2 linked regions of the Danio rerio genome follow. The protein of the gene in region 2 interacts with the protein of the main gene of each other region in a biochemical or structural test. Links are inferred from orthologs where the notes say so. Each region holds a gene or a part of one and is shown on either strand. Other genes may lie near its edges.

Region 1 (4,518 bases), on a different chromosome or scaffold from region 2:
AGAAGATGATGGATATTTACTGTATGATGACCGAAATGGCCTTAAACACCCAGCAGGCACAAGACGTCAACATGCCGTCAGATTGAAATTGTACCCTAACGTCGTGGAGACGCTGCATTTTGTTTGGAAATGAAAATCGGGTTTACATCAGAACTCAACATCAGCCTGATGTCAATGTCCAACGTCCAACCTCAAACCAACCAAATATCAACGTCTAATGATGTTACAGCTTGACGTTGTGTCGACGTTACCACTATGACGTCTATCAGACGTTGAATTTTGGTTGCCATAACTGATGAATAAATGTCAGTATTTGACGTCAATAGGATGTTGATTTAAGATGTCGGCTCTACATTGGATTTTGGTCACTTTCTAACAACCTAAAATCAACCAAATATCAACGTCATTTGATGTCATTATTGGACATGAAAATAATGTCCTTAGACGCTGGCTAGACATAGAATTTTGGTCACCTGACATTACAACCTAAATCAAACCTATTAACGTCTTATAACGTTGTGTGCCTGCTGGGCAATAAATATATGCACTACAGAATGTTACGTTTACACACATCCACGAATTACATGTAAATGCATCAACTTTTAACAGCGTAATACTCACTTTTAAAAGGGCTACTGTTTACTCCTACTTTGAGTAATATTTACGACAGGTACTTTTACTCTACTCACACTACATTTTTAGGCAAGTAATGGTACTTTTACTTAAGTATGCTTTTTTTTTACTTAAGTATTAGTTAAGTATGCTTTTTACATACTCTTTCCACCACTGGGTGCAACTTCCTTAATATGCACGATATTGCTTCGAAGATTATTACCTGTTATGCTGTGTTCACACCAGACGCTGAATGCAAATTTGACCTTATTTATATAGCACATTTAAATTCAACTTCAGTTGGCTTAAGTGCTATACAGAGTTAAAAAAGAGTCATGAAAAACATTAATAATACAGATTAAGCAAAGCAAAACAATTAATAAGTAAAAATCCTTATGCATTCATTTTCCTTCGGTCCCTTAATTTATTAGGGGTCGCCACAGCGGAATGAACCGCCAACGTATCCAGCATATGCTTATTATGCAGAGAATGCCCTTCCAGCTGCAACCCATTACTGGAAAAACACCCATACACACTCATTCACACACACACTCATACACTATACGGCCAGTTTAGTTAATCAATTCCCCAATAGTGCATGTGTTTAGACTGTGGGGGAAGCTGGAGCACTCAGAGGAGACCTAAGGCAACATGTGGAGAACATGCAAACTCCACACAGAAATGCCAACTGGCCCAGCCAGGACTCAAACCAGCGACCTTCTTCCTATGAAGCCACAGTGCTAACCACTAAACCACCATGTCACCCTTAATAAATTATTTGAAATTAAAAGCACATGGGAAAATATGTGAAAGTTTGATTAAAAAGATAAGTACAGATTGCTTTTCAACACTCTTCAGAATATCTTGCTTTATGCGCAACAGAATAAAAGTTAATTTTGTGTGAACTGTCCCTTTAAATCCAACTCTGCTGCACTACACACTCTGTCCGGCAGATGGGGACAAAACGCCACAAATCATCACCTAACTATGCGCTCAATATTGATATTACAGATTTTTGTTCTAGCACTCCCTACTAACGTTTGAGCTGTGCGTCATTCAACCGCTGTCAGTAAAAAAGTGAAATAAATACTTTAAATAAGTCTACAACGTTCAGACCAGTCTAAGTTCACCCTTTATCAGCTAATCGACTTGTGAACTGGCTGAAGAAGAAAACAGCTGGAGTGTTTTAGCGTAGCTTTTTTACGGAAGCCGGTGTTACTTTATCAAACATGGCTGACGACTTCGGTTTTTCCGCCTTCGACAACGGAGTTCATACAGAAGAAGATCCCGCCGCCGCCTTTCTGGCCCAGCAGGAGAATGAAATCGCGGTGATTGAGAACGACAGCACTGGGTTCAGTTTACCGGAGGACGGAGGAGCGGCGCCCGCAGACACCTACACCATGTCCGGCGGTGAGCCAGCGCGAGTCCCGGCGGCCGCAAACACACACCCGTGCTCACGTATTACCGCTTTATATTGTGTATAAAGTATAGTACAGAGTGCCTGTTATGTATAAGTAGCAGTAGTGTAATGTACCATGGTATTTTTGGAGAACCAGGTACGTAAATGTGTAATAAATGAGTATCAATCACTTCTTAAAATGTGAGTTACCATAGTATTGTAAAAAAACACAGTATTTTAGTTTTAAATAACTTTTTCCCATGGTATATTTTCAAAAAGTATATATTATATTATATTATTTTATATTATATTGAAATACTATGGTATCACCACTGAATACTGCCACTTTACCATAGTACTAGTAACTTACAGCAGTACTTTCAGTAACTATTTTGTGACTTTGTTTAATATAAATATTACAAATTATGCACAACTAATAATATAAATCATCATCGTTATTACTCGGTACTTAAATGCACACAAAAACTATAACACAGATTAGGCTACTTGCGATAAAGTAGCGGTAACGTTACTGTAACATACCATGGTATTTTTGCAGAACCAAATACATAAATGAGTAATAATGAGTATAAATCACTTCTTATAATGTTAGTTACCATGGTATTGTAAAAAGAATAGTGTTTTTGTTTATAATAAATTATTTTTCCATGGTATTTTTAGAATAAGTATATTATATTATAATATATTCTATTATAATACTATGGTATTACCACTGATTATTGCAACTTTACCATAGTACTAGTAACTGCAGTACTTACTTTCAGTAACTTTATTTTGTGTCCTTGTTTAATATTAATCTCACAAATTATGTGTAACTGATAATATGAATCACCATTGTTATTACTGAGTACTTAAATGCACACAAAAAGTATAACAGTGTGCTTTCGTACAAGTAGCAGTAGTGTAATGTACCATGTTTTTTTTTTTTTGAAGAACCAGGTACATTAATGTGTAATAAATGAGTAAAAATCACTTACTAAAATGTGTATATCATGGTATTTGACAATTCCTTGCAAAAAATATAGATACTTCATTGAAAGGATTTTTTTAATGAATATTCTATTCTATTATATTGAAATACTATGGTATCACCACCAGATACCGCCACTTTACCATAGTACTAGAACAACAGTACTTTCAGTTTCACTCGTTTACAGCTCTAATTAGTGCATATTATAAGGTATAATACAGTGTCTGTTCCGTATATGTAGCAGTACTGTTATGTACCAGGTGCATGAATGTGTAATAAATGAAGTTCAAATCACTTCTTAGTGTTCATGGTATTGACAATGATTAGTAAAAAGAATCGATACAGTATTTTTGGTTAAAATAACTTTTTCCTATGGTATTTTATCTAAAAAGTATATTATATTATATTAAAAATCTATGATATCACTACTGTATACAGCCACTTTCCCATAGTACTAGTAACTTACAGCAGTACTTTCAGTACCTTTATTTTGTCACAGAAACGCCAACTGACCCAGCCGAGGCTCGAACCAGCGAACTTCTCGCTGTGAGGCGACAGCACTACCTACTGCGCCACTGCGTCACCATTAAAACTTTTTTTCAGAAAAAAGGAAACATTTAATTTAAAATAAATAAAGAAAATAAATAAACTCTAAAAAAGTTAGCAGCCCTAATAAAATAAAAAAAATTAATGAAATTAAATATTATCACTCATCCTCTTCTAAATAAGAGTCGCATTGCTAAATATAGAAAATTGCAAAAAATGACATTTGTACTTGCATAAAAATAAAGGAGCAAAATAAATAACACAAAACTTAAAATAGCAAAAACAAAATCAAACCTAATATCTTCAAAACACTAAATAACAGAATTTGTAAAAAATAAATAACTAAATAAATAAAGTGCAGATTTATGCTTTAACTAAACACTTAAAACATGCAAGTAAAAAAAAATAAACATTTAAAACTTTTTTAATGCAAATCCACTTAGATCCACTTGTCTTGTAAACAAAGCAAGTATTTCATATATACATATATATTGACTAGAGGGCTGCATGGTGGTGCTGTGGGTAGCATGATCGCCTCACAGCAAGAAGGTCGCTGGTTCGAGCCTCGGCTGGGTCAGTTGACATTTTGGGTCAGTTTGCATGTTCTCCCAGTGTTGCCGTGGGTTTCCTCCGGGTGCTCCGGTTTCCCCCACAGTCCAAACACACTATAGGTGCATTGGATAAACTAAATTGTCCGTAGTGTATGTATGTGATTGAGTGTGTGTGGATGTTTTCCAGTGATGGGATGCAGCTGGAAGGGCATCCACTGCATAAAACATATGCTGGATAAGTTGGCGGTTCATTCCGCTGTGGCGACCCCTGATTAATAAAGGGAGTAAGCCAGAAAGAAAATGAATGAATGAATGAAAATTGACTAGAAGACAAAAAATATTACATTACAAACTGCAATTTTACATAAATCCTAAATTGTAATTTGTTTTTCGATCCTGACTGCATGTGTTTTAAGTCA
Region 2 (3,832 bases):
TATATGCTGTATAATATGCAGTAAAAAAAACAGTAATACTTTATACCGGTTTTGGCAGATTATAAATCATTCAGGAAAAGTGTGCTAAAATGGTTCTTTCTGCTAATTACATTCTAACATTTCTTTTTAATCTATCGAAGATTTATTTTCATTACTTTGTGCCTTTATTTAGACTGAGCAAGACAGACTGGCAAAAAGTGAGCGGAAAAAAATGGGGCTGAAATGAGGAAAGACCCCCAAGCAGATACTCAAATGCCCAAAACATATCAGAGCCCTGCCAACATTGCTGTTCAATCAACTGTTTTCTTAAACTAAAACCCAGACTGACTCTCACCTCGCCCAAGGCCTTGACAGAATCTAGTGCCGTCCTCAGCCGACTACAGTCTGCCGCCCCCATAGACTCCTGCTCCTTGAGCTGGCAGAGCAGCGTCAGGGCCTCTGCGCCACACGCCTTCACGCTGTCTGCCAATGCTGCCCACAGACAAAAAGCAGAAAGCAGTCAGACTAGCCATCTGTCACCTGCAGACACTCCACATACGCTCCAACAGACACATTTGCTGCAATGAATGACATGATTGCATTGTGCACGTGGGCACAGCACATTAGTCGCTTTGAGTTATGCCATGCTCTTTAAAAGCAACTTGAAACCAAACCCCCAGACCCCCGGCGGCCAGTTATTAACAGAACCACAATGATTGGAATGACCCTTGTGATGTATGGAGAGCAACTTAAACAAAGTCAGTTTCTTGGACGTCTCTACGTGATAATACAGTGCGGTTTTAAAATATTTAGCATTTTAATTTTAGTGAGTGCAATTATGCTACTTATATCAAAAGGGTAGTTGACATAGCTCAAATGTGCTACAAGTATCATTTTGATAATAGACCTACACAAATTCTCACAACACATGCAAATACAGAAACATGCTGCAAATAGTACAGACCACAATAGAAATGTGTTGGGAGACCCCAAAAACTGACAAACTCAGCAGTTTTGTCATGAGTGTTGTCTTTAGATCTGAGAGGTGAGTTAATTCGTCAGATTACTAGAGCAAGCCAATAGACCTTTTTCTTAGAACGCAAAATTTCCCATTATGCTTTGCGTGTATGCGTAAGGAGGATGCTTGATGCGTAATGATCGCTTTGAAACGATAGTTTTAATCTACTTTACTTGCTTTGAACACTTTTGAACTGATACTGCTGTTGATCGGCGCCACCTCCTGGACTGATTATTTAAAAAATGAGATCCAATGGGATGGAAAACTGCTGCTAATCATTTACCCTTACCGCCAGATGGCATCTTGAGCTATTGAAATGGAGCCTTGTCATCGCAAAAGTGATCATTTTCAAATTTATAACAAACTCAAACAAATGTAATTCACCAAAATGTTGGACACACACACACACATACTTTCCCATTAACATATTGATTAAAAGACTATCACAAAGTAAAAATAAATTTTGAAATGACAGAAAAATACATACCATGGTAAATACTTGGGGTGTCAAAATAATTGTGTCTTTGGTGTGATGCAGATAAGGACAATTTGGTATGGTTCAGTAATGATCATAACTGGTTATTATGTACATCATTTATGAACATCATTTATCTCATATGCGCCATGTCGCCGTAGCTTACTATGGCGAGGGAGGCAAGCGCGAGTATTTAAAATGCTCCAACTTCTTAAAAACGCAGAAACTGTGCACAATTTCACTGCATGTGTGTTTGCTGGACATTCTTCCACTGACACTTACAGCAGAAGCCCCTATTTCACTGTGAATGAGAGAATGAAAGTAAACTCCATTTTACCTAGGTAACCTAACAAACCTACTTAAGCCTTTAAATGTTCCTTTAAGCTGTATCGAAGTGTCTTGAAAAATATATAGTAAAATAATATGTACAGTCAGTCATCATGGTAAAGATAAAATAAATCAGTTATTAGTAATGTTATAATAAAATAAATCAGTTATTAGAAAGATAAAATAAATCAGTTATTAGAGATAGTTATTAAAACTATTATGTGTTTAGAAAAGTGTTGACGACACTTTTCAGTACTTTAGACACTTAACAGCAAATTACACAGTTTTTCTAGCTTGAATGGATTCTGAGCTTATTTTTTAATAGCAGATGCTGCTGTATGCTTTACGAACAACCATACTCAGCTTGCATTCAGTTCCTTACAAATACCACTTAAACCTTTGCTAACTTAATGAATAATTATTTTTGGTTCAAGTGAATTACAAGTGTGTTTGAAGTTAGCTGTTTACGTTAACACCTGACATAAAAAAACAACTTTCTGAGAGCTTTTCATGAGAATTTCAGTGTATGATTAATGTTATAATTAAAAAACTAGCCTAGAAAGCCATCTGCTGTTAAAAACTAAGTACAGGTCCAAAAAAAAAATCGCTAAGTTTTTACCATTACTATGATATAGAATAGGGGAGATTTCAGACAGGAAAGCATTGGGAGCAGAGAGGGGAAGGATCGGCAAAGGACCTTGAGCTGGGAATCAAACTAGGGTCACCGGCATGAGCACTCTGCTATATACTGTATGTCAGAACACAGTACCTCTAAGCTATTGGCGCCAACCCAAATTCGATTTCTCAAAACTATTTTTCACCACAGCTTTATAAACAACACAAACATACTGTAAAGTTGACCAAACGTTACTCAGGCATAATCCCACGATGTGTGTTTAAATATTTTTGTTTAGCTGACCACCAAATGTTTACTACTTAAATTGACATTGCACTGGACTACCCACATGTAGATGTTTTACAATGGACAAATGCAGAAAAATATACGATGACATCATGAAAGGAGACTTCGTCGTTTACGACCAAGCAAATGATTACAGTAAATCCCACATAGACATGTGATGCTGTAATTTTTGCAAATATTGCTCAATGAAAGACTCGTCAAAGATATGAATGATGCAGTTCTACTCTATAGGTACTCGAGATTAACATGAGCTAGGCAGATACTGCCCTTTATATATTTTCGATAAAGCATTTGCATATAAATATGCATTCGTTTTGCATTTTGATGTGATTACATGATGTAAACCTGAATAGGAAGGTGTTGAAATGATAAATGTGTCATGCTCACCGTCAGCTTGCTCCACTGGCACCATGTGGGAGGTGGCGCTGCCCTGCACGATGACATCGCCCACCAGGTGAGCAAACTGAGTCACTGCCCGCACCAGTCCAGACACATCTGTTACACACAGACAGGAAAATCAGTGTTACAACAGGATCATATGAGCGTTTCTCATCTCAATTGAGGAATTAAGTGTCAACAAAAGTGATGAAACGAAGTCTGAATGCATTCATGGTGCTCAGGGCTTTACTGGTAAAGGATTTAGTTGTATATTTTTGAGCTAAATACAAAGCAAAAACAGGGAGTAGGAAAGTTTTCAGTAGTTGATGATAGCATGGCTGTTTTCAAAACTGTGTGGATTGTTCAATTTTTCAGATGTGTTAACTATTTTTCCCAACAGTCAGTGGCGTAACATTGCAAAATAACACATCATATATGTGTCACTATATGTATTGCACACCCTTACCAGCATAGGAGCTCAGACAACAGCCAGACTGTTTAGGACCACTTACTGATTCAGAACGTTTGTTTCATGATACACTTTGCTCAGACTGAGTGTAAAATTATCATTTAAACAATACTAAGGCCTAAAATGCTTTGGTTAGCAGTTTACAGCTTTTTTCTTTTTTTACAAAAATTGTCTGTGTTTTGGTAAAGTGTCTTTTACTGGGAAAAAAAAGCTTTTAAGCTATTATTAAATGACACCACCTTAAATTAGATTACTTTTTGTGCC

The links.
Region 1: the proteins of hip1 (region 2) and cltb form a complex in vitro, tested with the Homo sapiens proteins (2 studies listed by BioGRID, with this or other methods). The link is inferred for Danio rerio from reciprocal best matches to the Homo sapiens genes HIP1 and CLTB.

The regions. Positions count from the first base shown.
Region 1 is NC_133189.1:56,170,616-56,175,133, reverse strand, and holds the start of cltb (clathrin light chain B), read left to right. Parts: upstream 1-1,619; 5' UTR 1,620-1,841; coding exon 1,842-2,022; intron 2,023-4,518. UniProt on the Homo sapiens protein: Clathrin is the major protein of the polyhedral coat of coated pits and vesicles.
Region 2 is NC_133190.1:19,378,978-19,382,809, forward strand, and holds part of hip1 (huntingtin-interacting protein 1), read right to left. Parts: intron 3,217-3,832; coding exon 3,109-3,216; intron 472-3,108; coding exon 335-471; intron 1-334. UniProt on the Homo sapiens protein: Plays a role in clathrin-mediated endocytosis and trafficking. Involved in regulating AMPA receptor trafficking in the central nervous system in an NMDA-dependent manner. Regulates presynaptic nerve terminal activity.